Linked DNA regions of Tribolium castaneum. The protein of the gene in region 3 purifies or fractionates together with the protein of the main gene of each other region. This does not show direct contact. Links are inferred from orthologs where the notes say so. Each region holds a gene or a part of one and is shown on either strand. Other genes may lie near its edges.

What was found.
Region 1: the proteins of Mocs2B (region 3) and Atac1 purify together in Drosophila melanogaster (affinity purification with mass spectrometry; 4 studies listed by BioGRID, with this or other methods). This does not show direct contact. The link is inferred for Tribolium castaneum from reciprocal best matches to the Drosophila melanogaster genes Mocs2B and Atac1.
Region 2: the proteins of Mocs2B (region 3) and Sgf29 purify together in Drosophila melanogaster (affinity purification with mass spectrometry; 5 studies listed by BioGRID, with this or other methods). This does not show direct contact. The link is inferred for Tribolium castaneum from reciprocal best matches to the Drosophila melanogaster genes Mocs2B and Sgf29.

Annotation. Positions count from the first base shown.
Region 1 is NC_087394.1:37,100,956-37,110,988, forward strand, and holds Atac1 (ZZ-type zinc finger-containing protein 3), read right to left. Parts: upstream 5,664-10,033; 5' UTR 5,479-5,663; coding exon 5,329-5,478; intron 5,282-5,328; coding exon 5,165-5,281; intron 5,062-5,164; coding exon 4,927-5,061; intron 4,878-4,926; coding exon 4,775-4,877; intron 4,728-4,774; coding exon 4,615-4,727; intron 4,569-4,614; coding exon 4,257-4,568; intron 4,205-4,256; coding exon 3,752-4,204; 3' UTR 3,674-3,751; downstream 1-3,673. Other genes in the region: b(0,+)-type amino acid transporter 1, read left to right, coding at 1,048-1,251, 1,297-1,578, 1,739-1,964, 2,023-2,067, 2,116-2,343, 2,394-2,640, 2,688-2,859, 2,914-2,981; beg (probable malonyl-CoA-acyl carrier protein transacylase, mitochondrial), read left to right, coding at 5,860-6,466, 6,521-6,738, 6,786-7,013, 7,064-7,231; hig (locomotion-related protein Hikaru genki), read right to left, coding at 8,959-9,350, 9,406-9,627.
Region 2 is NC_087396.1:14,027,077-14,037,249, reverse strand, and holds Sgf29 (SAGA-associated factor 29), read left to right. Parts: upstream 1-1,201; 5' UTR 1,202-1,479; intron 1,480-1,528; 5' UTR 1,529-1,631; coding exon 1,632-1,802; intron 1,803-2,257; coding exon 2,258-2,777; intron 2,778-3,627; coding exon 3,628-3,812; 3' UTR 3,813-3,899; downstream 3,900-10,173. Other genes in the region: Pabp2 (polyadenylate-binding protein 2), read right to left, coding at 4,420-4,456, 4,599-4,732, 4,780-5,042, 5,092-5,335. UniProt on the Drosophila melanogaster protein: Component of both the SAGA and CHAT histone acetyltransferase complexes, which both predominantly acetylate histone H3.
Region 3 is NC_087396.1:21,502,786-21,512,952, forward strand, and holds Mocs2B (molybdopterin synthase catalytic subunit), read left to right. Parts: upstream 1-4,272; coding exon 4,273-4,517; intron 4,518-4,568; coding exon 4,569-4,750; intron 4,751-4,800; coding exon 4,801-5,058; intron 5,059-5,490; coding exon 5,491-5,708; intron 5,709-5,754; coding exon 5,755-5,865; 3' UTR 5,866-5,902; downstream 5,903-10,167. Other genes in the region: Sec23 (protein transport protein Sec23A), read left to right, coding at 1-187, 238-438, 494-1,042, 1,102-1,119, 1,252-1,341; elm (calcineurin B homologous protein 1), read right to left, coding at 1,440-1,678, 1,726-1,992, 2,036-2,102; Wdr92 (dynein axonemal assembly factor 10), read right to left, coding at 2,274-2,481, 2,526-2,976, 3,021-3,151, 3,194-3,477; Mocs2A (molybdopterin synthase sulfur carrier subunit), read left to right, coding at 4,006-4,263; JNK1/MAPK8-associated membrane protein, read right to left, coding at 5,903-6,189, 6,240-6,409, 6,459-6,671, 6,715-6,941; wdb (serine/threonine-protein phosphatase 2A 56 kDa regulatory subunit epsilon isoform), read left to right, coding at 8,154-8,292. UniProt on the Drosophila melanogaster protein: Catalytic subunit of the molybdopterin synthase complex, a complex that catalyzes the conversion of precursor Z into molybdopterin.

The DNA.
Region 1 (10,033 bases), on a different chromosome or scaffold from region 3:
TTAAATGATTAATAAATTAACTAATATTAAGAAGTGCAAAAAATTATTGTACGGCTTAATAAAATATTTACTATTATATTTTTATTTAAAAATTTTTAACAATAACATTAAACTCGACATTAAATAATTTAATGTCAAGAAGTCAGTGTACTGTCCTGTGTAAATTGGTAAACAAACATAAGAGTGGTTTAATCTAGAAATCCACGATTGCAAGTGATTTTGATTTAAGAGAGTATTTATTAAACTGACTGAAACAGTATAAAAAAACTTGAGTTTAGATTATTTTCTGCTTTTATTTTTTGAACTGAAGAAATACAAAAACTTTGTCAGTTCCAGTTTTTGTTAATGAAAAGAAAAATGGTAACAATTGAGAAAATGGAGTTCCTGATGAACTTCCAAGCAAAAACTTCACAGTAATATCCTAAACCAGAACTTTTAAATTAGTCCATAACACCAATATTATATTATAGTGAAGTTTATAGTTATTTATTTTCCCAGTAGTCAATAGAAATGCTGTTTCTACTTCGTGCCTCAAAATTTTAACGTTTTTAATATACCTTAAAAACAGGGCAGAATCCTAACAATATAATTGCATGTCCAAAGGTCAGTTTTTTTAATCCGATTTTAATAATGTTATAATAATAAGGCGTTAATAGTTATGAACATAACACATAACATGTCTGAACCTTAGGACAGTTAGCAGAGAAGAGACAGCGTTCTTTATAGGGGAGCTTTTTCTTCTTCCTTGTTACCACCTTGTAACTGGGGCTGTGCGTGCGCATCCACGAAGAGTTTGTAAATTTTACAAAGCTTGAAAATAAAATAGAACTAAATAAATAATACCCAAAGAAAAATGTTTTATTAATTTTTTTCGCCTTTAAAAAAAAGCTAAGTCACTCAGATACGGACAATAATTTCGAATACGTAAGTTTTCAGATCAAAATAGGCGAGAAAATAACATAATTTTGAACATTATTTAATTAGGAAATGTTTGAGCCTGTTTTACGAAATTTCAATAGAAAATAGTGTCTAATGATAAATTTTTAGGGACCATAGCGGCCACAAATGGCGACGCCAAACAAGGCGTCCAACTCAAGCGCGAATTGGGCCTTTTTTCCGCCATAAATCTAATTCTTGCCGTCATGATAGGATCCGGAATTTTCGTCTCTCCAGCTTCAGCACTCGAACATTCCGGTTCAGTTGGAATGTGTCTAGTTGTATGGACAGTATGCGGAATAATCTCCCTTCTAGGTATTTTTTTTTCGTAAAAAAATGTTTTTCCAACAAACATTTTAGGAGCTCTGGCTTTTGCCGAACTAGGCACTGTTATCCCACGTTCAGGGGCCGAATACGCCTACTATATGGACTCGTTTGGCCCCTTGCACAAATTCTGGGGCCATTTGCCCTCATTCATCTACTCCTGGGTCATGATTGTGATAATCAAACCGGCAGAAGTCGCTGTTATTATACTGACTTTTTCCGAATATTTGTGCCAACCGTTGCTAGATCTGATGTGCATACAGGACGACTCTGAAGAGGTGAAGAAGGCGGTCAAAACGGTGGCCTTACTCGCCCTAGGTAGGAAAAAACTTATAAACCCAGAATAACTAAAAATAAAATAAACGTAAAGAGAAAATTCTAAGTAATATGTAAAAAAGTAACTCTGTAACCAAGCCAATATTACTTGAGAAACTACGCTAGATAATAGCTATTCAGTTTGAAATCGTACTCGTTGTAGGTATAATAACATACATCAACGTTTCAAGCGTGAAACTCTACGTCAAAGTGCAGAACATTTTCGGCGGATTTAAAGTATTCGCCTGTTTGGTGGTGATTTTTGGCGGCCTTTACGAAATCATCAAAGGCAACACTGACAATTTAAACCGGGGCTTCGAAGGCACAAAGTACACACCGAAAAGCATCGCTTTGGCCTTTTATAGCGGACTTTGGGCTTATGACGGATGGTAATTGTAATTGTAAAAACCAGGCCTGGAAATGGCACACACTCACCATTTTTTACAGGTCTGCGGTCACTGTAATCACTGAAGAGATCAAACGACCTGAAGTGTGAGTAATTTTTAATTCCTGAACAAAAACGTGACTGAATAATTGCAGAAACATCCCGAGGAGCATAATGATAAGTGTTCCCATAGTCACCGGTTTGTATGTCTTTATGAACATGGCATACATGACCGCATTATCGATACCTGAGATGATAAATTCGCCTGCTGTTGCTGTAACTTTCGGTGAAAGGGTTTTAGGCCCTTTGGCGTTTTTGATACCACTAGGAGTGGCGTTAGCTACGTTTGGATGTGCCCTAAGTATACAATTTGGGGTCACTAGGTACCAAAAAATTAATTTTGTGTGTCTTTTAACGAATTAAATAATTTAAGGGTGTGTTATGTGGCAGGACAGGACGGCCTAATGATCAAAAGTCTTTCCTTCGTTCATCATGAACGTCTAACTCCGTCATTCGCTGTCGTTTCTCAGGGGATTTTATCGCTCCTTTTTATCGTAGCTGGGGATATTGTTGAACTGATCGAATTTGTTAGTTTCCTCATTTGGATATTCTACGGGCTGGCTTTTGTCTCGTTACTTGTCTTAAGGAGGACTATGAAAGATGCTCCTCGACCCTACAAAGTACATATAAAATCTTTTTTTCGGTTTGGTTTAATGATTTTTTTCAGGTGCCTACATGGATTTGTGTTTTCGTTTTATTGGTAGCTATTTATTTGAGTGTTACGCCCATTATTACGGATCCAACTCCGAAATATTTGCTCGCTTTGGCGTTTATTTTGGTGGGGGTTTTGGTTTATTATTGGTTTGTTTACAAGAAGCGAACACCGGAATTGTTGATGAGTATGAGGTTTACAATTTTTTGTGGGGTAATTTACTAATTGTTGCAATTTTTAGGAAAGTTTACACGTTTTATTCAGATTTTATTCGCGGCTGTGCCACCCGATAATCCAAATGCTACATAAGAAATTATTTATTGAGATGTTATGTAATTTATAATTGCAGTTGTAATAAAATGAAATATAAACGGAAATGTATTTTTACGATAAGAAACGATAAAAACATCATAAATGATTTATTATTCTTTTGACAGATAAGAACGTTAAATACATATTTTATTTTACTGAATAAAGACCGCTCAATGAAATAATAAGTGTAGTCAAGTTGTCAGTGATACGTTAAATAAATTAGTTGCAGTGAATAAATTAAATTCAACTTGTAGAATTTTGTTTAAAACTGTTTTTCAATGGAATTTAAAAAAAAACTGGAAAGATTTTGCTTAAACTATAGGTAAAAAATTGTAGAATTAAGTCTAAAAAAATCAATAAATTTTAGGAAATTTGTAAAAACAACGGAGGAAATCACTTAATCAGGTCTAGAATGCATTATTTACAAAAAATTATGAGTAAACTCTGAAAATTCGAAATATTTGACCAAAAAAAACACTTTCAATAAATGCGTATTAAAAGCACGCAAAAATTCACAACACGCACTGAATAATATTAAAAAAGTTATGTAAGAATTAAGATAAATGATCAACAAAAAGGTAACTAATTTTTGCAAAGCTGTAAACAAAGTTTTATTCATTGATTTTTGTTACGTTATCACGTCGATTTTCAGGAGAGCTCTGAAGGGTTAAACGAAAAGCTAACATATAAAAAAACTTTTCATTGCAATCACAAATTTACATACAAACAAAGGCAATAAATAAATAAAATCTTCAACAACAAAACGTTCAATCCTTATCAAGCAACAAATTCGAGTGCAAATAATCGTATGAAAGATTTTCAATTTCGCTGAACAAATCGGACCCAAGTCCGTCCACAAACTCGTCATTACCATAATTACCAAACTCCAACTTTGGCATTTCTTCACTTTGATTTTTATTATCAATTTTCTCGCTTTCGTCCATTCCGTTTGCCATCACTTGGTCCTTGACATTATCCGAAATATCGCTCATTTCTTCATCACTTGATTCGTTATTTTGATCCAAACTGCCACTATTTGACTCTGAATCACTTTCAATTTCTCTATCACCACATGCGATTAAATTGTGGTTTAAAGGGTGGCTATTATCGGAATAAATTTGTGTTAAAACACAGTCTGTACAAAAATCAATTGAGTCATTTTTGCAAGTGTTACAATGCCATCTGGTGCCAATTATTGGTTCATCGTTGCAATAATCACACTATAAGAAAATAAATCACCAAAAAATTGGCTAAATTATTATTATTTTTTACTTTAAATCCCACGTGTTGGAAATTAGACCCACTCTCATTCTCCCTAATTTTAACTTTTCGTATCCGTTTTAAAAGTTCCAGCTGTAACTCACTGTCACTTTTTTGGGGCAAAATCTCACTCTCCTGGTGATAAACCGAAGGTATGAGATAATTGGAACTTGTAGAAGGCTGTATCTCATCTGTAATTTTCGAACTAGGTCCAGGAACATTATCCAAGTCATTCATTACTACAGGAACACATAAATCGGGGAAAAAAGTTGTAGGTTTCCATAAATAATGATTGTGACGCTGGTGCTTATGTAATGACGTTCTCTACAAAAAAATAATTTTTTGGTGCCTTAAAATAATGTAAATTCACTTTGTGTTTTTCGGCAGATTTTGGAATTCGGCCAGGAATTGGCAATCCAGCTTTGTACAATTTCACAAAATATTTCTGAATTCGGCTCGTGACTTGCTGAATTGTTCGATTACCTAAGAAAATTTAACCAAGTTTTAATATTTTTCGCCTAATTAATTACCTAAAGCATCAGCGATTTTTTTAAACCGTCTCATTTCAACCGGTTCAGGCGGATAAATTTGGAGCAATTCTTCTAAACGTTTCTGCTCTTCTGTTGTCCATTTCTATAGAATCAAGCAATTTTATTTGAACCGATTTTACAAAATGTGTTACCCCATGTGAAATTTTCGTTTCTTTTTTCGGCGTTTCGGGTTTTTTCTTAACAGTCTCAGAACCGTCTGAATAAATCAATTTGAAACTTTCCTCCGGGATTTTAATATCGTACTTTGACCAGTCAATAACCGGCAACTAAAATGCACCAAATGAACAAAATATTCCTTGCTTTATTAAAAATTATATTTTGTTCTCTAATGTAATTAGGTGAAAAAAATCTCAAAAAAATTGTAATTACTTCAGGCATGCGGTGCATATCTGGCATTCCCAAAGACTCCCCTTTTATAATTTTCTCCAAGACTTTGGCCGGGTCTGCCAGTGCTTCTTTCTTCAATTCTACTGCTTTGTTATAGTCCTGAAGACTTTTTTAATCGAAACGTAACTAAATTCACACAACTTTACCTTTATTGCTTGTTTTCTCTGAGCACACAGAATGAGCAAGTTTTTAAGAACCTCACTATAGTCCTTATTTCCTCTCAAAGCCAAGTGATCCGTTTCGAAATAGTACAAATCTTCTTCAGGATTTATGTCCGATTCTTGCGTATTTGTCATTTTGTTTGTAAAAAATTGACTAGATATTACACAATTCACTCTCGTATAACTTAATTTACAAAAAAATACAAGAAATAAACACTACACACGTGAAATTGACAGCTGACCTGTAACCTTACTTTTGACAACCTTAAACAAGACCAAATTTACGAAAGTGGTTCCGTCCGATCTTCATTTTCGTTAATTTTCCTTAAAGCTAGCTCAAGTAGAGTAGTTTGCATCAGTGGTGATAAATTTGGCGTCTTGGATTAAAGTTTAGATTGGGCGAACAATCGGTCATATGGTCGCAACTTGACATTCGAGGTTAAGTTGAATCATTAAAATGTGTTTTTATTTGAATTAGTTTTGTGTGTTTTGCTTGATTAACAGTTTAATTATACCATGATGTTTACTAAAATTATTACACGAAATTTTCTGAAAGACTGCGATCGTGTTTTGGTAGGGCTTCGCCCCTTCTCCCTGTCCTCAAATCGTAACTGTGATGAGAAAAAAACGCAAGAATCTCCCCTAAAGAAACTCCTCGACGAATCAGCAACCTTTGAAGACTTGCACCCCCAGACACAAGAACAACAATGGGCTACTTTGCCATACCCTCAAGGCACCAAAATTCGCAAACAGGGTGTCTCATTTATCGAAAAACCTAAATATGATCCACGCGAGTCCTCGATAATTTTATTTCCCGGTCAGGGGAGCCAATTTGTCGGTATGTGCAATGACTTGCTCAAGTACCCCATGGCTAGGGATTTGTTTGAGTTAGCGAATTATATTTTAAAGTACGATTTGTTAAAATTGTGTCTTGAGGGTCCCAAAGACAAATTGGACCAAACAAAATATAGTCAACCGGCAATAATGGTCAGTTCTTTAGCGGCAATTGAACGACTGAAAGAGGAGAGACCTAGGGCTATTGAGAGTTGTGTGGGGACAGCAGGGTTCAGTTTGGGGGAAATTACAGCGTTAGTGTTTGCGGGGGCGATTGGTTTTGAGCGAGGTTTATTTTACAACCAGTTGGCAAAAAATTGAATTTTATTTGGAATTTTTTAAGGGTTACGATTGGTGCAAATTCGGGGGGAAGCAATGCAATTGGCTAGTGAGGCGTACAAGGGGGGGATGGTCACAGTAATGTACGGTCCTGACACGAAGTTAAACCAGGCACTAGTCAAAGCCAAGGAATGGGCAACTGATAAAGGCGACTTAATGCCCGAATGTCAAATTGCCAATTATTTGTACCCCCATTGTAAAGTCATCTCGGGGAGCGAATCTGTAATTTTTTTTCTTCATTTTTGTAGTTGTTATGCAGTTAATTGTAGGCGCTTGATTATTTGGAAAAAAATGCCAAAGAATTAAATTTACGTAAAGTTAAAAGACTTGCGGTTAGTGGAGCTTTCCATTCCAATTTAATGTTACCAGCGGTTGAACCGTTTCGAAAGGCATTAAATAAATCAGAAGTGAGCAATCCTGTAATTAGTGTTTATTCAAATGTTGACGGGAAAAAGTACAAAGACGCAGCGCAGATCAAAAAACAATTGCCGAAACAGGTAATTTAGAAGTGTTTTTTTTTTCGTGTTTTGAGTTTTTCTTTCTCCAGATTGTTAAACCTGTAAAGTGGGAACAACTTCTTCATGTTGTTTATGAGAGGAGTCAAGGGGATTATTTCCCAAGGACGTTTGAGTGTGGCCCAGGCACGTCCCTAAGGGCTATCCTTAAACAAGTGAATGCCAAAGCATGGACTACGTGTTTTAATATTCAAGTGTAGAGTTTATTTTGAATAAAATTTTTGAAACAACTATTATTTTTTCTTTTTCCAATTCCCCAAAACCATTAACGAACATTTTATCTTGAAGCCTAATAAGGCAAAAATTAAAAGGGGCATCCGAATGTGCTTCAAATTATTTATCGAATGGTGAAAAAAAATAATTTAAACGAAATTGCTCGTTTGTGAAATTCGGTTATTGGAGCAAAAAGTCGAAAATGAACCTCAAATGTAGAGAGCACGCAAATTTGAAATCGCGCGCCTCTCGATTTGACGTCTCGACGAACCAACCAATGAGATGTCCTGACTTGATGTCACGCGGTGGTCTAGTGGGGACGCACTTTTTTCACAAGCGCGTCGTTAAGTTTTTGCTTTTATGTGTTGTTAAAAAAGTGTTTTTCGCGTAATTAGTGCCAAATTGACTGAAATCAAAGTTTTCTATTGGAAATCTGACGAGATGACATCATCGGTTGCCGGCTGGAAACGAATTCCAAGAAACGCTGGAGGACCGGTTCAAAAGCGAGGGAGACGCTACCTATAAGGTTAGCAATTTTTGGTATTATTGCATTTTTATCGAGAAAACAGAGCTGATAAAGGGCCAAATTATGTCTGAACTTTTATTTTTGCCTTGTTCCGATGCTTTTCTCCGAGAGTTTGATGAAACAAGACTCGAAAATGGAAAAGTAGGCCGGGCAACGCGATACCAACCTATTAAATGTCCCTAACGAAAAACAAAACAATGGTAGAAATTTTGTCAGAAAATTCCATAAATGTGATTTTTTGGGCTTATTTTCTTCTCACTCACTAAGTTTTTTCAGAGGTATTTTTAGTTTTTCACTAAAAAAAAATCATAACTCTAGAACTAAAAGTCGTAGGGCGAAGCAATTTGTTTCAGCGAATTCTACGATTTATTTTAAATTTAAAAAAAATCTAATAGAATTTTCCGTTATTTTTGTGGATCCCACTGACAAAAGTAAGAAAGAAAAGCCACCAATACAAAGAGACAAATAATTATGACATTAGCAGTTTTTGCTCAAGGTTTGAAACAGAATGAATTAATTATTTGAGTGCATCAACCAAGATAAAGACTTCTTTTAAACAACAACACAAAATACTGTTCATTAATCCTGGCTTAATTAATTGGTTACTTATTTTTGTGTTAGTGAATACGGACTGAAAACGTCCGGTTTAATTAATTTCCCCAGTTTTTCCACATGTGAGAACAAAAAATACCGAGGGCAAAGTGTATACGCACCATTTGACGACCTCTTTATTAACAGTTAGTCATTTACAAAATTACTTCAGCGGAAAATTGTAATTTTTTGTTTGGTCTTCTCTTACGACTCGAGTTAAATCAACTTGATGACTTTTTTTTGACCATAAGCGTTCGTCATTGAAAAGTGTTCGCAATCAGTTGTACGTTTTATTGACAATATAAATTTATTACATAAACTTTTACAGATGAATATAAATTGACTACCTTAAGGCAGTTTTTGAATTTATTTACATAAAAAACCAATCAATTACATGGTACATAAATTTCGTTGTAAATACATTCACTATCGCTAGAAATATCTACAATTTGATAAAAATTTGTATTCGGCATGAGATCATCATGTGTAACAACTTTTTTGGTAAAAAATAACCGAAAAATACTTAATTACGAGTCATAAAATCAACGATGTTTCTCCCATCATCATTATCACAAACATTCAACGCTTAATATCTTATTAAATCTCCGAATAATTGGTGCAGTTGGGTAAGGGGGCCGACCACCTCCCATCTGGGAGACACTTAGGCCTTGCCTCCAACCTGGCCTCAAACCCCGGACTGCAGGTGATCTGGAGCTCATCTCCAGGCTCGTAGGCAAACTTCGTGGGGGCCACCAGCCCATTGTCGGGCTCCCCCAAATAGGGGCACCGCGGTTTGCAGAAAGGGGGCGGGTGCGACCAAAACCCAGTCTCGGTACAAATAATGCTGGCTTCGCCCTCCAGCTGGTGGGCCCCCCTGCAGGCAAACTGTACTAAACTGCCCACGGCATAGCGGCCCCCGTCCATGCCCGCCGCCTCCGACTGGATGAGGTGGCCGTTGACGGGAATCACCGGGGGCGGGCATTGAATAGCTGGGTTAAATTTAATAAATCAATTTTGGTTTTCGAAATTTTGGCGGTTACTTACGGACGCATTTGGGCAAAGGCCCCGACCAGTTACCGTTCAGTTCGCATTCGATGCCTGGGGGCCCCATGAGGCGGTAGCCCCAGGCACAGCTGAAGATAGCACGGCCTCCGTAACTGTTGTTGTGCTCTTCGAGGTGCAAATGGGGCTCGTAGAGGCCGCCGGGGGTGTCTAATGATTCGCATTTTACGAGCTCGCATGTTGGAACAGGGGCTGACCATTTGCCTGATTGGAAAAATTTAAATGCTATAGGTTATTTTATACCTCACTGTTTTTTTAAATCAATTGTCAATGTCAAAAATTTTGAAATTATGTTGGAACCCTGCGACATTGCCATAGGAACGAAGCCAACGTAGAAACAATTTGACAATTGATTTTTAGCGCATTATTATTTTTTTCTTAGCAAACCCTATTAAAGAATTCATTACCATTTAACAGTTAGATTATTTTACCTATCAAAACGTAATTTAATTACCTAACATTTCTATTATTTTGTCTAACAAATTTTATTTTAATACTAAGCTATGTACGACATTTTACTTGAAAATGGCTATTATTTGCTTAGCAGTTTATTAGTATCCATCATTTTTAAATCGTTTGTGAACATAGTCACGATTCTGGGGTTTAGAAC
Region 2 (10,173 bases), about 7.5 Mb from region 3:
TCCAATAAGCATTTCTTCACCTTCCCTAAGAATCCAAAGCTTCAAGAATTGTGGAGGAATGCCTGCAAAATTGAGGATCCTGTAAGTTCAAAATTTTGGCGTTTTCGCTATTTAGGGTATTTCAGAATTTACTTTTAAGTTTCTTATTTGCGCTCGAGTGTGTCAGTGCACTGCATGTACCTCCTCGTGGTCGTAGCGTGGGCAACTGTTTGCTGACAGACAAGGTAAAAGTCATTGCAAAGCAGACCTTATTTTGTTTTAAGTCTCGAGCAGACAGGCAAAACATGCCAACACTGACTGATTTAATTTTTTTATAATTTTTGTATAATTAAGAAATAATACAATACTTTAATTTTTTGAAAAATTTAATTTGTTATGTTACTCAAGTGTACAATAAAAATGTTAACAAAATCTGTGTTTTATTACCCCAAAACAACTTTTTTTGTAAGTTTCATTTCAAATTTTGTTTAAAATAAATATAAAACGTTTTCATTTTGTTTAAAATGAAAATATATTTTTTTATTTTAAACAATTTGCAATGAAACTTGTAAGATAAAAATAATAAAAAACAATATAAAAGGAATTTATTCAAACGTGGCACTTTACCGTGGTAGTAACGCACTTCAGCACCAGAGGCGCTGGATTCTCGTGTTGCCAGTGATTTACTAGGGAATTATCACTTCTTAACCCTTTCTGTTCTGTGCTACCTGTCAATTCCTAAAACGTCTACAAACATCACGCTCTGCACAAGCGCGGCGCTAAATTTAAATAACACGATATTTTTTAATGAAATAAATTTTCAGATAGACCCAAATCGTTTTGAAACCAGAATTTTCCTGAAATATTTAAATTAAAAACCTCTATATCATTAGTTAGTTACATAATTAATAAGCAAATAATTTTTTTCATTTTAATCTAAAGACGCAAGTACTAATTAAATTCACAATCACAACCTCGTAGCAAGTTTACAAACACGTATTTAATTAAATAAATAAAAAATAGTTGCAATTTTTTAAATAGCGCCTCAAGGCCGTCGTAGTTCCAATGTGACAACACAGAGATAAGTAATCCTAACACAACATTATCTTATATAGAAAAAAAGGGAAACTTAGTGATATTATCGTTGCAATGTTAAAAACATTATCAAGCATTTTATTCCACAATTATTACTAATTAGTGAATTTTTTGTAGGTTTAATTGAATATATGTATTAGGTCGTGTGTTTCAAAAAGTAGTCTATTTGCACGGCTAACGTCAAGCACAGGCAAACAAAAATAAGTGTATTTTAAATTACGTGCATGTTATTTTGATAAAAAATTACCATTTCCATAATTAGTAGTTTATTGTAAAGTACAATACATAAAAGTTACCCCCGCAGTGCGACTTGTGCCCTTTTCCCTGGCAGTGCATCAAACAGTCAAATCAATGTTTTTTGATTTAATTGAAATAAACATTTCCACTAGAACCGTGTGTAGAATAGTCAGTGATTACTAAAGTGTATACTTTTGCTCTATTTTGGGCGTTTCAGGTACTCGTCACTTTAGTGTTGCTTTGCTGGTACCACGTTGTGCTTGTAGACAGGCACTTCAGGAACCCATATTTCTGCGGTGAATTTTAATTGCACTATTAAAATGCCCTTTAGTGCAGACGCAATCGCAGCGCAAAAAGTTCAGGAGCACTTGAAGTCGCTCTATCACACGGTTCATGAGATTGAGAAGAAACGCCAACAGAGTGAACAAGGAATAAACAACATTGTTAAGTTTCAAAATGGGCAAGACGAGAAGTCCAGCCAACATTATCAGGTGTGGATTTTCTGGCATTCGCAAAATATTTTGAGGCATTTTCCGAAAAAATAACAGTAATTTGGGGCCAACATTTTTATGTGTGTATCAGTGTGATTTGTTTTCTTCTTTGTGTCAACGACATTTGGTCCCTTTACCTCGGTCTTGTTCTCAGCGGCAATCGTTACCTAATAATTATGCTACAAATAAAAGTACTGATTTCACTGCAACTTACAGTTAAAATTGTTAAAACGTAAATAATTACAATGGCTTTTAAGATCTTTGATGACATTTTTCTGATCTTTGGCGGCTTACGGTGCCCTGGAAACGCTAAATTAAAAAAAATCGCCTTTGAACCACCTTTTAAAGCTCAATTGTGTTTCAAGTAAATATTTTTGTTTACGTGAATTTAAAGAATTCCATTGTTTCGATTCAATAAGAGTTTATATGATTACTGTAATGATTATATATTGTAGATGAAGCTAAAGAGCCTCTACAAGTCCTCAATTTCGCACGCCGAGCAAGAGGAGGATTTGCTCCGTCAAGCTCTTCAAAAAATTGCGGAAATCCGCAACATTAAGAACGAACGGAGAATTCAAACGAGACATGCTGGAAACAAAGAATCGATTCGTAGGGGCACTTGGATGAAGATGTTAATGAGTTCGGCACAAACATTGCCCCTTTTCGTCGGTAAAATAGACGAAAAACCTCCTGCTCTCTGTGGTGCCACACCTGCTGACTCTGGCTATGTGGCAAAAGTGGGCGATATGGTGGCTGCTTTGGTTAAAATTCCTGATGGAGATGGCGAAAACTGGATATTGGCTGAAGTGTACAGTTATAATCACGCCTCAAATAAGTACGAAGTTGATGATATTTTGGCGGAGCAGAATCAGAAACGGCGACATACTTTGAGCAAGAGAAATGTGGTACCGTTACCCCTAATGCGGGCTAATCCCGAGACTGATCCAACGGCCTTGTTTCCACAAGGAACTGTCGGTAAGTGGAGTTACAACGAACTTCCTCCTGTTTCAAGCACCGATTATGGCAAAACTCTTCGGAAAATTGAAACTATTTTAAAGTTGTCTTTGTAAAATGCTCTGGGAAATCGCTTGGCGTCAAGAAAATGACCAGATTCTTAATAATTTTTAAGATATATTTTTTACACTGTTTGCGATTTTTTTTAAAACTGTTAATCGCAGAACAATGGTCTTTTTTGTAAAAAGAAACAGATTATTAAGAGCTATCCAACGATTATACACTTATTAGGGTTTCGGCTAGTATTTCTGGAATTATTGCCCGATGAATGTCACAAACGTGTTGAAACATTCGGTGGTATGTTAGCACAAAAAAAATCTATGTAAATTTTTTACATTTTTATAATTATTTTATGGGATGTCTCGTGGTTTTTTTGTGTCTGTTTTTGCTAATAATTTTTACTCAGTGTAGTAGATTCCTCAGAGATCATATTTGTTTAAAATTTTTATTAGTAAAGTTTAAAATTGCTCGCCAAATTTAAATTTATTCGCCATCGCCGACGAAAATTCAGAAACCACAAATATTCGGATAATGCAAGTTGAGTTCTTTTGAGCTCTACTCACATTCCTTAAAATATTTGCACAACTATCAAATTATTACTTTTTCGCAAAGGATTAATGTTTTTTTACAATTCTTTCTTATTTCGTCTTATTTGACAAATGATATAAAGCAAAAATAACAGCTAAAAAGACACTCTTTGTTAATTTATCTCTTCTAATGACCTCGGATATAACGAACGGATTTTGACACATTTTCTGAGTTCGTTATAACCGGACACCACGTAAATTAAAATGTTGGTTTTGCGTTTCAGTTATGGCTCTATACCCAACTACGAGTTGCTTCTATAAAGGCATTGTGAACAAGCCTCCCGCAACACATACTGATGAATATGAGATTTTGTTTGAAGACGCTGCGTATCCTGAAGGCTACAGCCCGCCCCTGTATGTGGCCCAACGCTACGTCATTGCCATAAAACAGAAGACAAAGCAAGCCTGACATTATCTTTCAGACACTATGTCTGATTCTGAAGCTTCAAGTTTTATGGAATAATTTATTGGGTAGTAAACATTCGAGAAACTTTCATTTTGTGTTATATTTCACCAATTTATTATTCATCTTTACATGTACATGAATTTTTTTTACATTTTTGTTATTTTCTAATCTAACTTTTAAAAAAATGGAACTCCTGAAAAAAACAGGCTGAAGGTACCTGTAATGTTGCAACATTAAAAATTATAAAATAAAAACGAAACTGTTCAGACCGTAACAAAACTATTCTCATAACCGTTACAACTACCAATTTCTCACCCAATGAACGAAAGAAACTCATAATTATCTTATGACTTTCTTTGTTTTCTTCTGACTATGAAGAAAAATTAATTTCCACACATGCACGCAACACTCGCTCAACTCATACATGTTAGCCTAACATTTAAATTTTACGAGGGGAAATGTTTTTAATTTACAGTTTTTAACTTCACTTTTTTTCTTTTTTCTTTTGTAACTTTTTTTTCTTAGTCCAAAATATCAGTGTGATAGAATTATGAGAGGTGTTACTTAAACAAAAATGTAATAATGATGTTCCTTATATTTACCAGGCCCGTCAGTATGGTGAAAAATATCCACCTCGTCTGTAACTCCTAAAAATGTAGACATCAGTTCATTAAGACACTTCATACTTGCTTCAAAATAAAGAAAACAGAAACAATACTGAAAAATAAAAATAACCGCACAGAAAGTATATTGTTTCCTGTTTTATTGTACAAGACTGGGGAAACGTACCTTGGTCTACGCATGGGCCTATAGCCAGCGTAAAATCCCCGCCCGACTCCTCGTGCCCCCCGGAACGCCCCTCTGCCCCTTGGCGGCCGGTTTGTGGTGGAAAGGCCCGGTCTATTGGTCCTTTTAGGCATGACCTAGAAAAATGGAGTAATTTTATAGGAAATGCGCCCTAAAATCGCACCTTGATTGGTCTTCCTCTAAACAACGACTCGTCCATCGCCATCGCCGTCTGCACGGAGTCCCTGTCCCCAAACTCAATGTAGGCGAAGCCTTTGGGGTGTCCATCGTATTTATTACAAAGAATAGTGACCCGGTTTATTGATCCACAACCATGGAAGTGCTGTTCCAGTTCTTCGGCTGTTGCGCCGTAGTCGACATTGCCGACGTAAATACTGCGATTATCAACCTCCATCTTCTCCTCAAGCGACATATTCAAAGGACTGGCTACAATAGGGCTCCTGTCACGCCTGCCGCTTTGTTCCATTGTACTTACTTAGTCCGGGAGGACTGCCCATGTTCATTTGTTTATCGACCTCGCTCTGGAGCTGTTTCAGCTTTTCGGCTTCCTCTTCCATCTCACGCACCCGGGCTTTGATGGCTTCGAGCTCAGGGTCGTCGCCCCCGGTGCCGTCCAAATCGGTGTCGTTCAAAAGAGCGTCGTCGTGCATCCCATTTGTTTCGTCTAAAGATTCCAAGTGATCCTCTGGACCTAATCCCAAATCTTCATTATCAGCCATAGCTGAAATTGTCAACATAACCCCACTTTTAGTACGACGAATTTTTCACCAATTGCGCGTTATTGGAGCAACTTTTAGCCCCATATTCGCACTATACTCCAACACATATGTTTCGCACAGCTACTTCAGTTAACCCACTTTGCAAAATTTGGTTTTTTTTGATGGAGCATGATTGAAAGTTGCCCTTTATGTAATAGGATGTCGGTACTCACTTTGTTCAATCTGTTACATGTAAACGCTGCCGTACTGGAGATAATTTTTTGTCAAAAGAGCACTAAAACACACCATCCAAGCCACTTTTTTATTACCGGCAAATTGTGGAAGAGTCGGCTTGTGAAGAAAAATGGCGTAGGTGACTTGCGTTGCCAACATTTGCACAACCAGGAACGCCAATCCCAATAATGAAAGACGCTAAAAACTACCCTTATTTTAAAACTTAAATTAAATAATTAAAAAATTTCCTAATTTGAACAGTTAAGAGCTATAAAAATCTAATTAATAAAAATCAGATTAGATAAATTTAATTCGTTCTCGTTTTTTATATTAGTTTTTTATTAAAAAAAAAATAAAACTGTGGTGAAAATGATCTTATTTTGACTATTTTGAACCCAAATTGTCCATAAAGTAATACTTTTTAGTATACATTGCATATGTTATTCATTATTACGATGAAATCGTCGTGTAAATGCTTTCAAAATAGCGTACAAAATGTGTAATGTTGGCTGCATAATACTTCAAATTTTTATTAAAAAAAGAAGTAAAAAACAATGAACCCGATGTAAGGAAAAAAATCCCCACTGAGAAAAATTTAATTATACAATATAACCGGCCACAAGTCAAACACAGGGTGAGTGGGGTATGATCTGCCAAACTTAACAACTTAGCTTAACTTAGGCGTCGCTCATCATATTCAGTTTTAATTTTTTTTTCAGAATTAAATAAAGCACTGATTCCATTTTAAAAGTCTTTTGGTACTACACTCCGAGTAGAAGAAAATACATATTATTGAATTACTTACTGAAAACATTTTAAACTGTTCGACAAAAAAAAATCGATGTAAAATTTTTGAATTTTTATATTTCTTATGAGAAAGGACTCGTTTTTCTATGGCTGTCCTTACCAATTTTAACTCTCTGTAATAGATTTTGAAGAACTAAACTTAGAGATCATATTTGTTTAAACTTTTTGCTGGTCCCATTTTATTCGCCGACTAAAACTCTTTATATCTCATAGACTATAAATATTCCACTTCTTGTGAGCTCTATTATAACTATCAAATTCCTACTGTCGCAAAGGATTAATGTTTTTTTACAATACTGACTATATAAACACTATTATGTAACTTATTTATTATTACTTTAATAATAATTATTGACAATAGTTTTAAATACGTCGTAAGTGATATTATTTTTCAAGATTCTACATATTTTTTTTAGATGACATATAAATTAAATAAAAACTAGGCAGTATTAAAAAAAATAAATTATTTGTTATTAAAATTAAATATTATGAGCCCAACAAAAATTTTGTTGGCCCACCTTTTACCCATCCAAAAATTAGAGTTACGACAAAAGACACTTTATTCCCAAGAGTCCACTGCAGTGCTAAAATTATCCAATTTTTATCCAGTTTTCAATATTTTTTTTCTAAATTAAATAAAGCACTGACCACTGATCGCAGCTAGAGTAGAAAAATGCCCTGTAACCATTTTTGGAAAATGTTACTACGTTAAACGGCTTTACCTAAATCTTTCGGCAAATAGCGAAAAGAACGTTTAGAAACTACAATTTACGAATTCAATTAATTTTTTATAATGTCCATGCAAAAAATTTTGTGAAACATTATTCACATGAGAAAACGGTCCTAATTTCTTTCAAACTAGCTTGTCAATAGAACCATGCAAATGTGCAGTTTAGATCGGCAACTGATAAAAAAAATAGAAAACGTGGTCCTTGCACTGATTATTATCTTACATCGTCACATATCCACTGTCATAGCTATAGAATTTTAAAACCGAATAATAAGACGTGAAAAATGCCGTGAATATTTATAATTTGATGAACTTGACACAAATGTATTGTTCCTATAGAGAACAACAATAAATGGCAGTGGTAGATGCCGGATATAGCCTCGTACATGATTTCATTCCTTATGACCATTTCAAGAGGAAATTTCCTTGATTTTGTTTGTCAAGAATCCTTATTAAAACCCTGCTGTAACTTGACTTAGGTTATGGTGGAATATTTTAATTTAAATCTGATGGCATTGAATTGAGGGCCACTAGCTAACCTTTTATACCTACACGAAAGGTGGTCGCCGGATATCCTTCCTGAAGATTGACAAGTACAAGCGACTGGATAAATTTCAGTTGTTCAAAAACAAGTTTGGCTCTTTTATTGTTATTTATTCCACTTAATTATTTTTTATGTGGTCTGTTTAGGCATATCCGGATTGACTAAACGTAAACATCAATAATTCTCCGAAAACAAAGTGTAAAACCTTCCAGCTTCCGAAGGACACAATATCCGGATTTTTAATTTCATGCTTATTTTTCGTAGTAATAGACAAACAAAAATAACAAACAAAAACTTCCTAGAAAAAATATTTCCCCTCAGATCCAGGTTTACCTAAATTATGGAAAAATTTCATTTAAAAAGTGACCCAATTTTGCAAAAAGTTCATTTCCTCCTCGGTCTCCGTGAACTTTCGCAAAATCGACAAGGCGATTCCCAAATAACAATGTTAAGTCCTGGAAATCCTTGTGATCATTCGACTGGAAAAAGAATATGTTTGTATAGGAAATAAACATTACTCAAGTTGCAATGTCAAGTTATAGGTCTTGTCTAGTAATTAATGTCATTATGTAACATAATAGTTGTAAATAGAGCTAATAAACTTTATTCATTTATCATTTATAATCGGACAGATTTTTCTACAAACTATACTTACATGCCTAACGAAGGCACAAGAGAAAATGCCATCACAATTCATTTTCAAAGTTCAAAAACTGGCAAGCACAATATTTTGATGATTTAGTAATTTGTTCATAATTTTTTAAACAATAATATGCATAAAGTAGTTTTTATTTTGATTTCGTTTGCGTTCCAGTGCAACAATAAATGTTGAAAAAATGTTTTAGAACAATTAAATTGCGGATTCTTTAAATATTGTAAAAGTATAAGTCATCATTCATTATAAAAAATATTTTGAAAACAAATTAAATTAGGTACTTCTCAATTCCACAAACTGCACTAAATTTAATTGTCTTATAAAACTTGTTTTTCTTGGAAAATAATGCTTGTTTCATCCTTCAAAAATTTCCCATTTAAAGTTCTTAATTTCTACCTTCATAGTTTATAGCCTTCCGGAAATGATTACTCGTTTGTTAATTTGTTTGTAATTTAGTAGATATTTTCCAACCAAACATCCTAACTTGGTGGTCTTTTCATTCTTATAAAAACAACCAACAATCTCACTCTGTAAACATCGATATACCTAAACACGTTAATTACATTATTGTTTATTTATTAATTTTTATGAAGAAAACAAGAAAAAATATTTTTAAGAATGTCTACCATGTAACTTCTATTTAGCAAAATCTATCTACCATCCCATAAGCTCAGTTTACCAGACATTATAAAATCCATTTAAATTTTAAAAGATGATTCACTCAGTATTACACAAGACATTATTAAGTGTATTTATTAAAATAAAAAATAATTAATAGCTCAACAGATAGATTTGAAAAATATTGCATTTATCCACTATAAGTAATAATTACAATAAGCAATTTTATTTTCTATTGTATTTTGTTTACCGTAATTAATAATTATTGAAATTAGCTATTACTTCACCTAAAAACAATTCTAGACATCTAAAAATTTAAAACCTAAGAAGATGTCCAGTGAATGCAAATACCAAACCTTAATATAATTAAAAGTTAAAATAAGAAAAAACAACACTTATTTCTGTCAATTGTAATTATGCACTAACATGTGGAGCCCCCAATAAGGGATTTCTCGACGAAATTGAGGAAAACTGCATTTAGTGAGCGCAAACCCATCGCAAAACTTGACGCACTTGACCCAATAAAATCGCATATGTGTTATATAACGTATAAATGGATTATTCAAAGACCTTGCAAAAAATCACAGATCACATCACATTCTCAATATCAAACTAATTAAAATGGCGGTGATTTATTACTCCAACTGGTAATTTTATTTTCTATAAATATAACAGTAATACTTAACAGTTTGAATGAAATTAACCGTTCAGTTTATTGCAATTAGTTTAAAACTCTGTGCTCGTTTTTAATTACGCCTTAATTAGAAAAAAATTGAAGGTTTTAATCGTAAGACATGTAGATACACCTTAAATTGTACTTCTATCACGTCCAGGATCAAGTGACGGTCACTCTATTTTAATGTTAATAAATTGGCAACCTTGTTCGATTTCCGGAGGCCACCAACTCCATTTCCGATTTAATTAAAATAAAAAAATCGTGGTAAAACACACATGTTGGGGTTATAAATCAAAACGGTAACAGTGGCTGAATCACCTCCCTTCTCTGCTTGAAAAATGTCAATAACCGAAAATTTTTTGGTAGAAAGCGCCACAAGTGGTGCTAAATGGCCCCGGAGTGAAATACGGTCCATAAAATTAATTAAATTTCTTTTATTGTCGTGCAGTACTGAAATACCAATCTTGCGATTTTATCGCAATGAAAGGCTTGCAATTTTGTAAAAGTGCCATAAAAGGAGTGAAAACGCCCGATTATTAGAAAATTTGCAACTCGAAACTTTGGGTAAACCCGAAGGCGCAAGCAACCTTCCGTG
Region 3 (10,167 bases):
GTCCCTCAATGTGAAAAGTCCCCTCGTTTCGGACACTGAAATCGGAATGGGTAACACAGTCCAATGGAAAATGTGCACTTTGACGCCGAGTGCAACAATTGCCCTATTTTTCGAAGTGGTCAATCAACATTCGGCCCCCATACCGCAAGGAGGCCGTGGATGCATTCAGTTCATAACACAATATCAAGTAAATGATTCAATTGAAGGAAAGGAAATTATTAACAATTTTTTTCTTAGCATTCGAGCGGCCAGAGGCGCATTCGCGTTACAACCATCGCCCGAAATTGGGCCGATGCCACGGCCAACATCCACCACATCAGCGCCGGCTTTGACCAGGAAGCGGCGGCTGTTTTAATGGCCCGCATGGCCGTTTATCGAGCTGAAACCGACGAAAGCCCCGATGTGTTGCGATGGGTCGACCGTATGTTAATTCGTCTGGTAATACAACAGTTAAAAATTAATTAATCAAAATTTCGAACTTTATTATTTCTAGTGCCAAAAATTCGGCGAATACAACAAAGACGACCCTAACAGTTTCCGTTTGAGTGAAAACTTCAGTCTCTATCCCCAATTCATGTACCATTTGCGCCGCTCCCAATTCCTCCAAGTTTTCAACAACTCCCCAGACGAGACCTCGTTCTACCGCCACATGCTGATGCGGGAGGACCTCACCCAAAGTCTCATTATGATCCAGCCGATTTTATACAGTTATAGTTTCAACGGCCCCCCTGAACCCGTCCTCCTCGACACTAGTTCCATTCAACCCGATCGAATCCTTCTCATGGACACATTTTTCCAAATTTTGATTTTCCACGGTGAGACAATCGCCCAATGGAGGAACCTCAAGTACCAGGACATGCCAGAGTACGAGAATTTCCGGCAATTGTTACAAGCACCGGTGGATGACGCCCAGGAAATCCTCCAGACGAGGTTCCCCATGCCTAGGTACATCGACACGGAACAAGGGGGCTCCCAAGCCAGGTTTTTACTATCGAAAGTCAACCCGAGCCAAACACATAACAATATGTACGCGTACGGAGGGGTGAGTACCACTTTTGTGTGTTTTGTTTGTGTTTTAATTCTGTGTTTGGTGGATTTTAGGCGGTACCTGCGAGTGCGGTATTTATTTTTTTTATTTTTTGTGGGGTTAAAGGTGTAATTTTTGTAGTAGTATTTGTTACTAATCGGGTGGTTTTATCGCTTTCACTCGCTTCGCTTGCTTCAGACGTGTAACAAAATTTTGTGTTACAGGACGGCGGGGCCCCGGTTTTGACCGACGACGTCTCGTTGCAAGTGTTTATGGATCATTTGAAGAAACTGGCGGTCTCTTCAACGGCTTAAACTACTTTATTCTTATTTATTAAGTACAATAGTAACAAGAAAATATCTCTGGTTAAGTGTTACAATTATAATAAATATATTACACATACATTACACGCCTAGTTCAGGAAGCGAATGCTCATTTTTTGGGCGACATCCGTCCTTTGTAACGCATTACAAAACTCCTCGAATGAAATCATTTGGTCTCTGTCTTCATCAGCCTCCACGATAGTGCGCTCTGCAATACTGGTCAACTGTTCCTCGCTGATGTTGGCCCCCACCATCATGTGCAAGATCGCCAAAAGCTCCTCCTTTGAGATCATATCGTCGTTATCAAGGTCGTACATTTTGAAAGCGACTGGAAAAACTCAATAAAGCGTCACCCCTTGATTTTGATTCGCTTACATCTCAGCTTCTCCTCCCTCGAGTTCAGTTTATTCTCTTTGTTCTTCTTGATGGGTCTAAAGTGGGCCAAAACGCGCATAAACTGCCTGAAATTCACCCTATCGTTCAAGCCTTCCTCCTGGAAAAACGAATTGACGATTCTCTCGCCCAAAGGGTTGATTGCGAGCTCGGGAATTCGGAGGAAATCGTCGCGGCTCAAAGTGCCACAATCCCCACGGTCCAGGGACGTGAAACGGGAGTAGAGACGCTCGATTTGGTTGGGGGTGACTACATTTGCGGTTACAAGGAAACGAAACATGGGCGTACTCACATCCTGTTTCCTCCTGGATTTGGGCGATTTCCTCCTCACGGAGCAGCAGAGACGAGCGGTTACCCATTTTTACGAACTTTCACCAAAAACTGAACTTTGAATTATTGAAATGTCACTTTGACACTTGTAATGACAGTTGTTGTCACAACTGGCCAATCAAACGGCCGGATTTGTGTCACGTGGTTGACTGATTGTCAAAGTCAAGTGATTGAGGTTAGGGTCATTTTATTCATTAAAATTAATACAAATTTAGTTTTGTCGTAATTAAGACTCTGATGGTTTGGTCGAAGGCTGAGCACACCGACAGCCCGGCCTTCTCGGGGCACCAGTCAAAGCTCGTGATGGGCTGGTCGCTCAAAGTGCTGTTTTGCAGCAGAAGCAACTCCCCTGCCACCCCATATTCCAGCCCATCAGCGTCCTTTTCCACCCTCCGGTCCGGATAATTGCTACAAAGACCGTTGGTTTGAGTCGTAACAATTGACACACTCACTATTTCCACAAACAGAGCGATCCGGTGCCCCCCGTAGTCATGAAAATCTCCCGGTTTTGGGGCAAATGTTGGGCGCACCAGATGGTCGAATTGTGCGCCTTTTCGACCACTTGGGCGTACCCTTTAGTGGGGTGATGGGTGCGCACATCGAAACAGAAAATTTTCGACTCCAGAGTTGTGGCAACCAATTTGTTCATGGGAATGTCTTTGCGGTCGAATTGAAGCGAAACGATTCCGTTTTTGAGGCATTTGGACCATTTTACCGACATGTTCCGGAGGTCGTAGATTTTCAAATCGCCGTTATCGTAACCCGCTGCTACGACTCGTTCTTCGTTATTGTACGAGTTTCCGAAAGCTACGCTCCAACAATCGCGGCCTTGGGAGCCCTCGCTTTGGCAGAACTTGGCCACGGGGGTGTCTTTTTGCCGAATGTCCCACACCATGACAGCCCCTAAAAATGTTCGAGCAATGACTTTCAATAAAAAATTACAGTACCGTCTTTAGATCCGGTGGCTATTTCGGGGGCCCCGCACCCACTGGCAACCCCCGCAACTCCATCAATGGCGTTAATGACCCCGCGGTGCTTCTCCGTCTTATAAATCGGGATTAAATTCTCCTCCAAATCCCTACGAGACTTAAAAATTTTGGCCAACTTTTGGACGACTTACCAGACTTGTAACCGCCCGCTGAAGTCGCCAGTCGCAAGGTGGCGGTCTCTTAAACTCGAGGCGTGAAACGTGCCGCATTTAAAGTGGTCTTTCTTGCCGAATTCGGCCACTTTTTCGATCCCATCACCACTGATTGAGTAGGTCTCGATAATTCCAGCCCCGTTTGATTTGCCCCCGATTGAGACGAATTTCGCGGAACAGGGGATCCACTTGACGTCGTGGACGGTGTAGTTCAGGGCTTGCTGCACGTGGCAGATTATTTGGGGCCTTTGGAGCGACTCCATAACGTTTGATTGATCAAACAATTGTTGTCATAGCAAAGCGCATTTTCGGGGGCAATAATTGCCCAAGTTTAAATAAAACAAGCTGTTCTCGTTACGTTTTTAATTATTTTGTTTTTTTTTTTCACCCCCGTTATATCCTGCAATGTTCTTTATTTTTGCAGGAAATTAAGCCCTTCGTTAGGGCCTTCGACTGTAAAAAATCATGTTCGGACAAACAGCCATTGGGACCTTTTTTTACGGCTGTAAAAAAACAATTAGCAATACATTTAAGGATTGCTCTAATTAGTCAAATTATTAACTAATTTGTCCAGCAAATTAGGTTTAGAGCATTCTTGTCAGGAAAAAAGGAAACAGCTTCCAAAGCATTCGAAAAAAAGATTTTTAATTGCATTTTATTCGTAAGAAAGTGAGGTTAAAAATTTGACAACTTGCGCTCTAAATATGTCGTTTCAAATATAAACAGAGTAGTGATAAAAGTAATTATTTTGCTTCAATTCGGTGATTATGTAAGCGCAACAACACTATGATATGTTAGTGACCGTCAAAGTGTTGTTTTTCGCTAAATCGAGAGAAATCGTGGGCCAAAAATCCGCCGAACTTGACCTGCCGTCCCCCATCTCCTACAAAAAGCTTTTAGAAACACTCGTCGGCACGTATTTTTTGGCCGAAATTGCCCAAAACATTATTCTCTCCCTCAATGAGGAGTTTTGCGACGTGGAAAGTGTCGAAATTGTGTTAAAACAGGGCGACGAAGTAGCAATAATCCCACCTCTGAGTGGCGGTTAGGGCCCCAAAATGAATTTTTTGAAATTCACCGAAGACAAGCTAAGTGTTGAGGCGTTGACTGATCTAGTCGCCTCGCCGAAATGTGGCGCAGTCTCGGTTTTTATGGGGACCACCAGAGACAGTTTCGGGGAAAAAACCGTCCTTAAATTGGAGTACGAGGCGTACGAAGCCATGGCTTTGAAGTGTCTCGAAAAAGTGTGCGGGGAGATCAGGGCCAAGTGGCCTCAAGTCGAAAATATCGCAATCTATCACAGGTTTGAAAAATTTAAATTGGGGCCAAATTTTGATTTTTTTTTGTTTAACAGACTGGGGGTTGTGGGGGTCAAGGAGGCTAGCATTGTAATTGCAATCGCGTCCCCCCACCGTACCGAGGCGCTGCAAGCCACCGACTGGTGCATCAACAAGGTTAAAGAGAGTGTGCCTATTTGGAAAAAGGAGATTTACGCTGAAACTGAAACTCCTCCACAGTGGAAGGAAAATAAAGAATGTGGGTGGTCAAGTAAATAAAGTCTAAAATTGATTGGCTCTCATTTATAGCCCCCAAACCGAAAAAATTCAAGCTCGAAATCGAGCCCAAAGTCGAAATTCCCAACGTTTCGCCCCATTTGATTCAAATCAAGGCCTCAAACGCGGACTTGAGCAAACGAATCGAGAATTTTATGGAGATGAAGCGAAACGAAATCAACATAAGCAATGTGAGAGAGTTTTGCACAAGTAATCGAAGTTCAGAGTTCACTTGCGCCCGAGTCGATGCGGTTTTGCAAAAACGCAAAGACTCCAATGGCCATTTGCAAGGTTCGTGGCCCTTAAAAAATCACAATTTTACGATTTTTATTCCAATTTTTACAAGTCTGCTAAAAGTATACAACTGCACAGGGTTATTCTATTTGGCACCAGACATTTTTCATTAATGTTTAGAGAACACATTTTTATCTGAAAATAAAAAAATTAACGAAAAAATTAAGACTTTACGGACAGGACACAAATGTGCCGAGCATGACCTCCTTGATGTATGCAGACAACTTCGTTAAAAATAATACATCAAGGAGGCCATGGCGCCGAGTAAAAATTGACTGAAAAAAAAGAGCAAAGAAACTGCACGGTCAACACGAGAAATATATTTTTAACAGACTAACCCTCTATAAATTTAGCAAAAAATGTCGGGGAAAAGTGCTACTTTTCGGACGATTTTCGAAAAACAAGTATTTCAGACTAATTTTTTTGCAGTAAGTCGGGTTTTGAACACTTACCACCGCGACCAAACAAATTCGGACTACCTGACCAAATACATCCCCCAAAACGGCATTGAGGAGCGCCTCCAAAACCTGGAAATCCAACTCAGTTTGACCACCCCAACCCCGAAAAATATCTACACCCGTTTGAAGAAACTAGAAGACCGGATATTGTTCCTTGAAACGATTTCGCCCGAATATATCAATTTTTGGGTAAGCTTTTTGAGAGATTTCCCTCCCTTTTTAGTGAAATTTTTAGGACAAAAGCCACTTAAACAATAGATTTGTGAAGAAGAAGGTTTTCTCAGTTGAGGAAATCGATTCGCTAATTAGCGATTTGGAGCGGAAGGTTCAGGAGGAGAAAAAATAAATCTGTTTTTAGTTTATTATTATTATTAAAAAATAAATTACGTAAATATTGTCGGGTCGGTAAACCTGGCCGTGAAAATGTAAAAAAAAGCCGGCAGTGGGACCAACAGTAGCAACAATGAGTGAAAAGTCGGGTCACTAAGCTGAGTTATTGAAATTAAACCATAGGCGTGTAAACACCAATGGCCCACTAAGATTACCACATTTCTCGGGTCTACAACTGTTGTTATGATGAGTGAGGGAATCGATTGGTTGATTTTGAGGGCAAAGTGATAAGCACACGAAATAACTGACAAAATAACGACCAAAATTGGGAACGCATAATCTGGAACAAAACCAATCAAAAGTGTGATTTTTGGCGCAATCATTACGTACAAAGAAGTCCCCCAATTAGGGCATGGACCACCACCAAAATCGGTATATAGTACATGGCGGCATAAATCGACATTTTGCTCTGCCTTGGAAGGTATTTCCGGCAAACCCATGGCCTTATCAAAAGCATAACAATCAAAGTCAGGGCATAAAAAATAAAAACTAGCGTATACCTAAAACAAAAACACTCAATAAAGTAGTATAATCAATTAGTAGCCCTACAAGGGATACACAGCCTCCTGGGTACAATGCACCCTCTTCTCATAATCCGGGGCCGGATTATGCAACAAAGTGTACCAATCGGCCAAGCTGCGCACTCTGCAGTTCCGCACCTGGAACTCGCCGAACGGGTGCGTGAAAAGCACCGACAAGAGCCCCGAAATGACCACTTCCACCAGCGCAGTCAAGTGTAAAATTAGGACGTCTTTTTTGAAGCTACAACGAACAGTGAAGGTGTGACGGGCAATAGGGGGCTCACCTTCGTCGCATCGACACCATGTCGATGAAAAACCAGTGCAGAATCTGGACCAGGAGCACCATAAACCCCAAATAAAGCCAGTCGTAGAACGTGGGGCTGTCGGTGCACGGCTCGCAAATAAAAGTAGTGTCGTTGCGCCGGAAGCCCCGGGGGCACGACCCGCACTCGCTGAGACTGCCATTGGGGAGGTACTGGCGGCCGCAGTACCAGCCAGGACACGGAAGCATCTTAAAGAGGCATCGCGGAATGTAAGGTTAAGGCGGACTTGACAGGAGATTACAGCCGGCCAGTGGGGCATTTATTTATCAATGCGATAACAAGCGCGCCAATGGCACATTTTTAGGGTTTGGTTAATTAAATTTGGCTGATTTAATTATTTGGTGCAGTTGTGTTAGTTTCGTGCCGATCTGTTGATGGGTGACCAATGTTTGGTTGGTCCACTGTGATTTTTTCATTCTCTTCTTGACTCATTAAAATTACAAGTTTGGATTTATTTGTTTAAAAATGTGGTAAATTGGTATTTTTTTGTGTCATAAGGTAGATTTGTTGTTAAAACTGTTAAATACGACACATGCCTTAGATTTGGTTGATCAGGTGTGATTTATTGAGGCGTTTGTTTCATTGAGCTGCAAAAATGTATCGTTTTTTACACGTGGATGAATTAATAAAGTTTGTTTGATTTAATTGTGTTTTGATTTTTTCAAAGTTTGAATTAAACGGCATTTTCGATAAGATGGACGTCTGAAGTGGCGTGTGATTGGTCGGGTGGCACGAATACTCGATCATGATTGGTCGCGTCGGACTACTGGCGAGTCAATTGACGATCTGACTAGCGTAAAATTAATGAAAATAAGGTCCCGGGGGTTGTTTTGGCTATAGTATAATTCATTGCGTGAATTTTGCGTGCCCTAGGCTGGGTTTGGTGCGAGTCGGAGTGAATTGGTTGTGAAAACCAGTTGTGTTTTGGTGCGCGCAGTACCCCCCATCTATTTTCAGCCCTAGGTACTTACGGCATCGGTTCGTGCAAAAATCGCGTAAAAACCCGTCAATAGCGCTTAAACCCCCGGTGTTTGGTGGCCCCTTTGTGCAAAACCTAGTCTTTTGGGCGGCGTTCGCGATGTTGGTGTGTTCGCACCGCGCATGGATCGGCTGAACGCGAGTATTTTGTGTCAAAGCAACCAGCTGATGGCGGGTGAAAATACTGGACTCGCTTGGCAGTTGTTCGATTTTCCGCGTCTTTCCGCCGATTCCTGCTAACTGTTTGTGGTTGTGGTGCGCGAGGCGGCCCCAGATCGGCGACTCGGCTTGCGTTCCCTCGACCGGGCTTTGGGCGTGCACCTTGTCATTGGAGGATGCGTTCGAAGGGGGCTGGTGCCGTTTGACGTAGACGTCCAGGTGAAATGTCGCGCGCGTAAACCGAGCCAGATCGAGTAGCCAGCATGTCGACCACGGCGTTCGTCGATCGGATCGATCCCTTCGCCAAGCGCTCGCTCAAGAAGAAGACGAAAAAGTCGCAAGGCAGCTCCAGGTACAGGAACTCGCAGGACGTGGAGCTGCAGCCGCTGCCGCTGCTCAAAGGTAGGCGGGGGCCCAAGGGCAAGGTCGCGACTGACCGCCGGCATCGATCCACGGGGGCTCCCTTGGCCGCCCCGAAAGGGGCTGCCAACTGACATTGTGGCATCAAAGGCCGGGCTTTGTGGCCGGACGTGGAAAACAAAAGTTTACCAATAAATGTCACTTGTCAAAATAAAGCGAGGTCAGGAACGTATATACGGAACTGTCATTTTATTTTTATTGATTTCTTGCTTCAATTGACAATTTTGCTTCAATTCATCGCAAATTGACGGTAATTTCATAGAAGTAGACGAAAATAAACTAATAATTCGGTTTTTCTGTGAAGAAATCAGGCAGTTTTGCCGTTTAAATGCCACTTGTAGTGTGCTATGGAAAACAAAAGTTGATACTTGACAATACGCAAAAAATGTCATTGCCAATATTGATTTTGACAAAATTATTCATAAATTTTTCGCGAAATTGTGCGACACGAGCGTGTTTTTGTGTTTTTTTTTTAGTTCTACTGGTAGTAAATATAATTCACTAATTAAAATATAACTGTTTTTTTATAAAACAAAAATAATTGTGTAATTGCATTATATTGAAATTAGATTGCATTTGGAATAATTCACTTCTTCTGCCCAGTTGTGCTAATTTTTACGGTAATTGTGGCGTATTGTAGTTCAAAAGAGCGAAAATTTGAACGTCCAAAACTGATTTTAAAAAGCGAATAAATGCAATAATTCTAAAAGCCTACATTTTACATCTACATTTTAAAGTGGCCTGCAGTCAAGGCCAAATGTGTCAAATCGGCATGTCGTGTATAATTTCAATTTTGGTTGATGGGCAACAAATAGTAAAATTAAACAAAAAAGTCAAAATTTTAAGATAGATTTGTTTAAATAGTTTTTTATGACATGATGAAAATTCATAGAATGCAAACATTTTGACAGAAAAATAATAAAACTTGAAATTAAACTTTTTGATATTCACCTAAAACTCTGAGCCTGGCCAAGTATAAAGCTTACTGGATTCCTGTTAATATTATAGTTAATTAATTTTTACTTGATTTATAGTTTTATTTGGAAAGTTCAAAGACTTAAAAGAGGTAAAACTCTATAGAAGACACATACTTAAGTATAATTGTTGTTAAAATAAATTACATATCTGTATATCTTATCTATGATATAATATCTCGTGTTTCTCCAGATTTTCTTTATTGAGTATTATTTTCAACTTCTATCCACCAAATAAATATAAAACTATTCATCAAAACTTATTGAAGCGTAAGAGTATATAAATTCCATCGTTTGAGGTGTTTATCAAATTTCTATCTTTATTTGTTCTGAGGATACAAGGCTAACTTGATTTTTTTTAAATGGCAAGAAGGGTCAAATTTAATATTTTTAAAAAGAGTATTTTTTTCTGAGTTATATGGTGTAACACATGCATATCTTACTTTAATATAAACTTAAAAAAAATATCGAACTAATAAAATTTTGAAAAATGTAAAATTTTGTCATTACTAAATTAAAACTAAAAATTCCTTACTTTGGCAGCACAATTTGGAACGAATTTTATAGTAAATTTTGATTTAGTAGACATTACAATAATAAGAAAAAAAAGTTGGATCTGATTTAGTTTCATTTATTTTAATGTAAAAAATCGAGTTAACAAATTTTGAAATTCGCAGTTTTTTTGTTATTTACTGTGATCGATTTATTGTTTTGGGCGAGATTTGCTGGAGTACAAGAGACGAGCCGCACAATTGGGTAAAGTTGCGTCGCCTCTAAACCGCATAATGACTTATTAGAGGTGTCTACACTTTGTTCAGGTGTGTCTCTTATTATTGATGAAACGATTACTCTCCAAGTTTGGAATATTGCCAACATTCTTTTA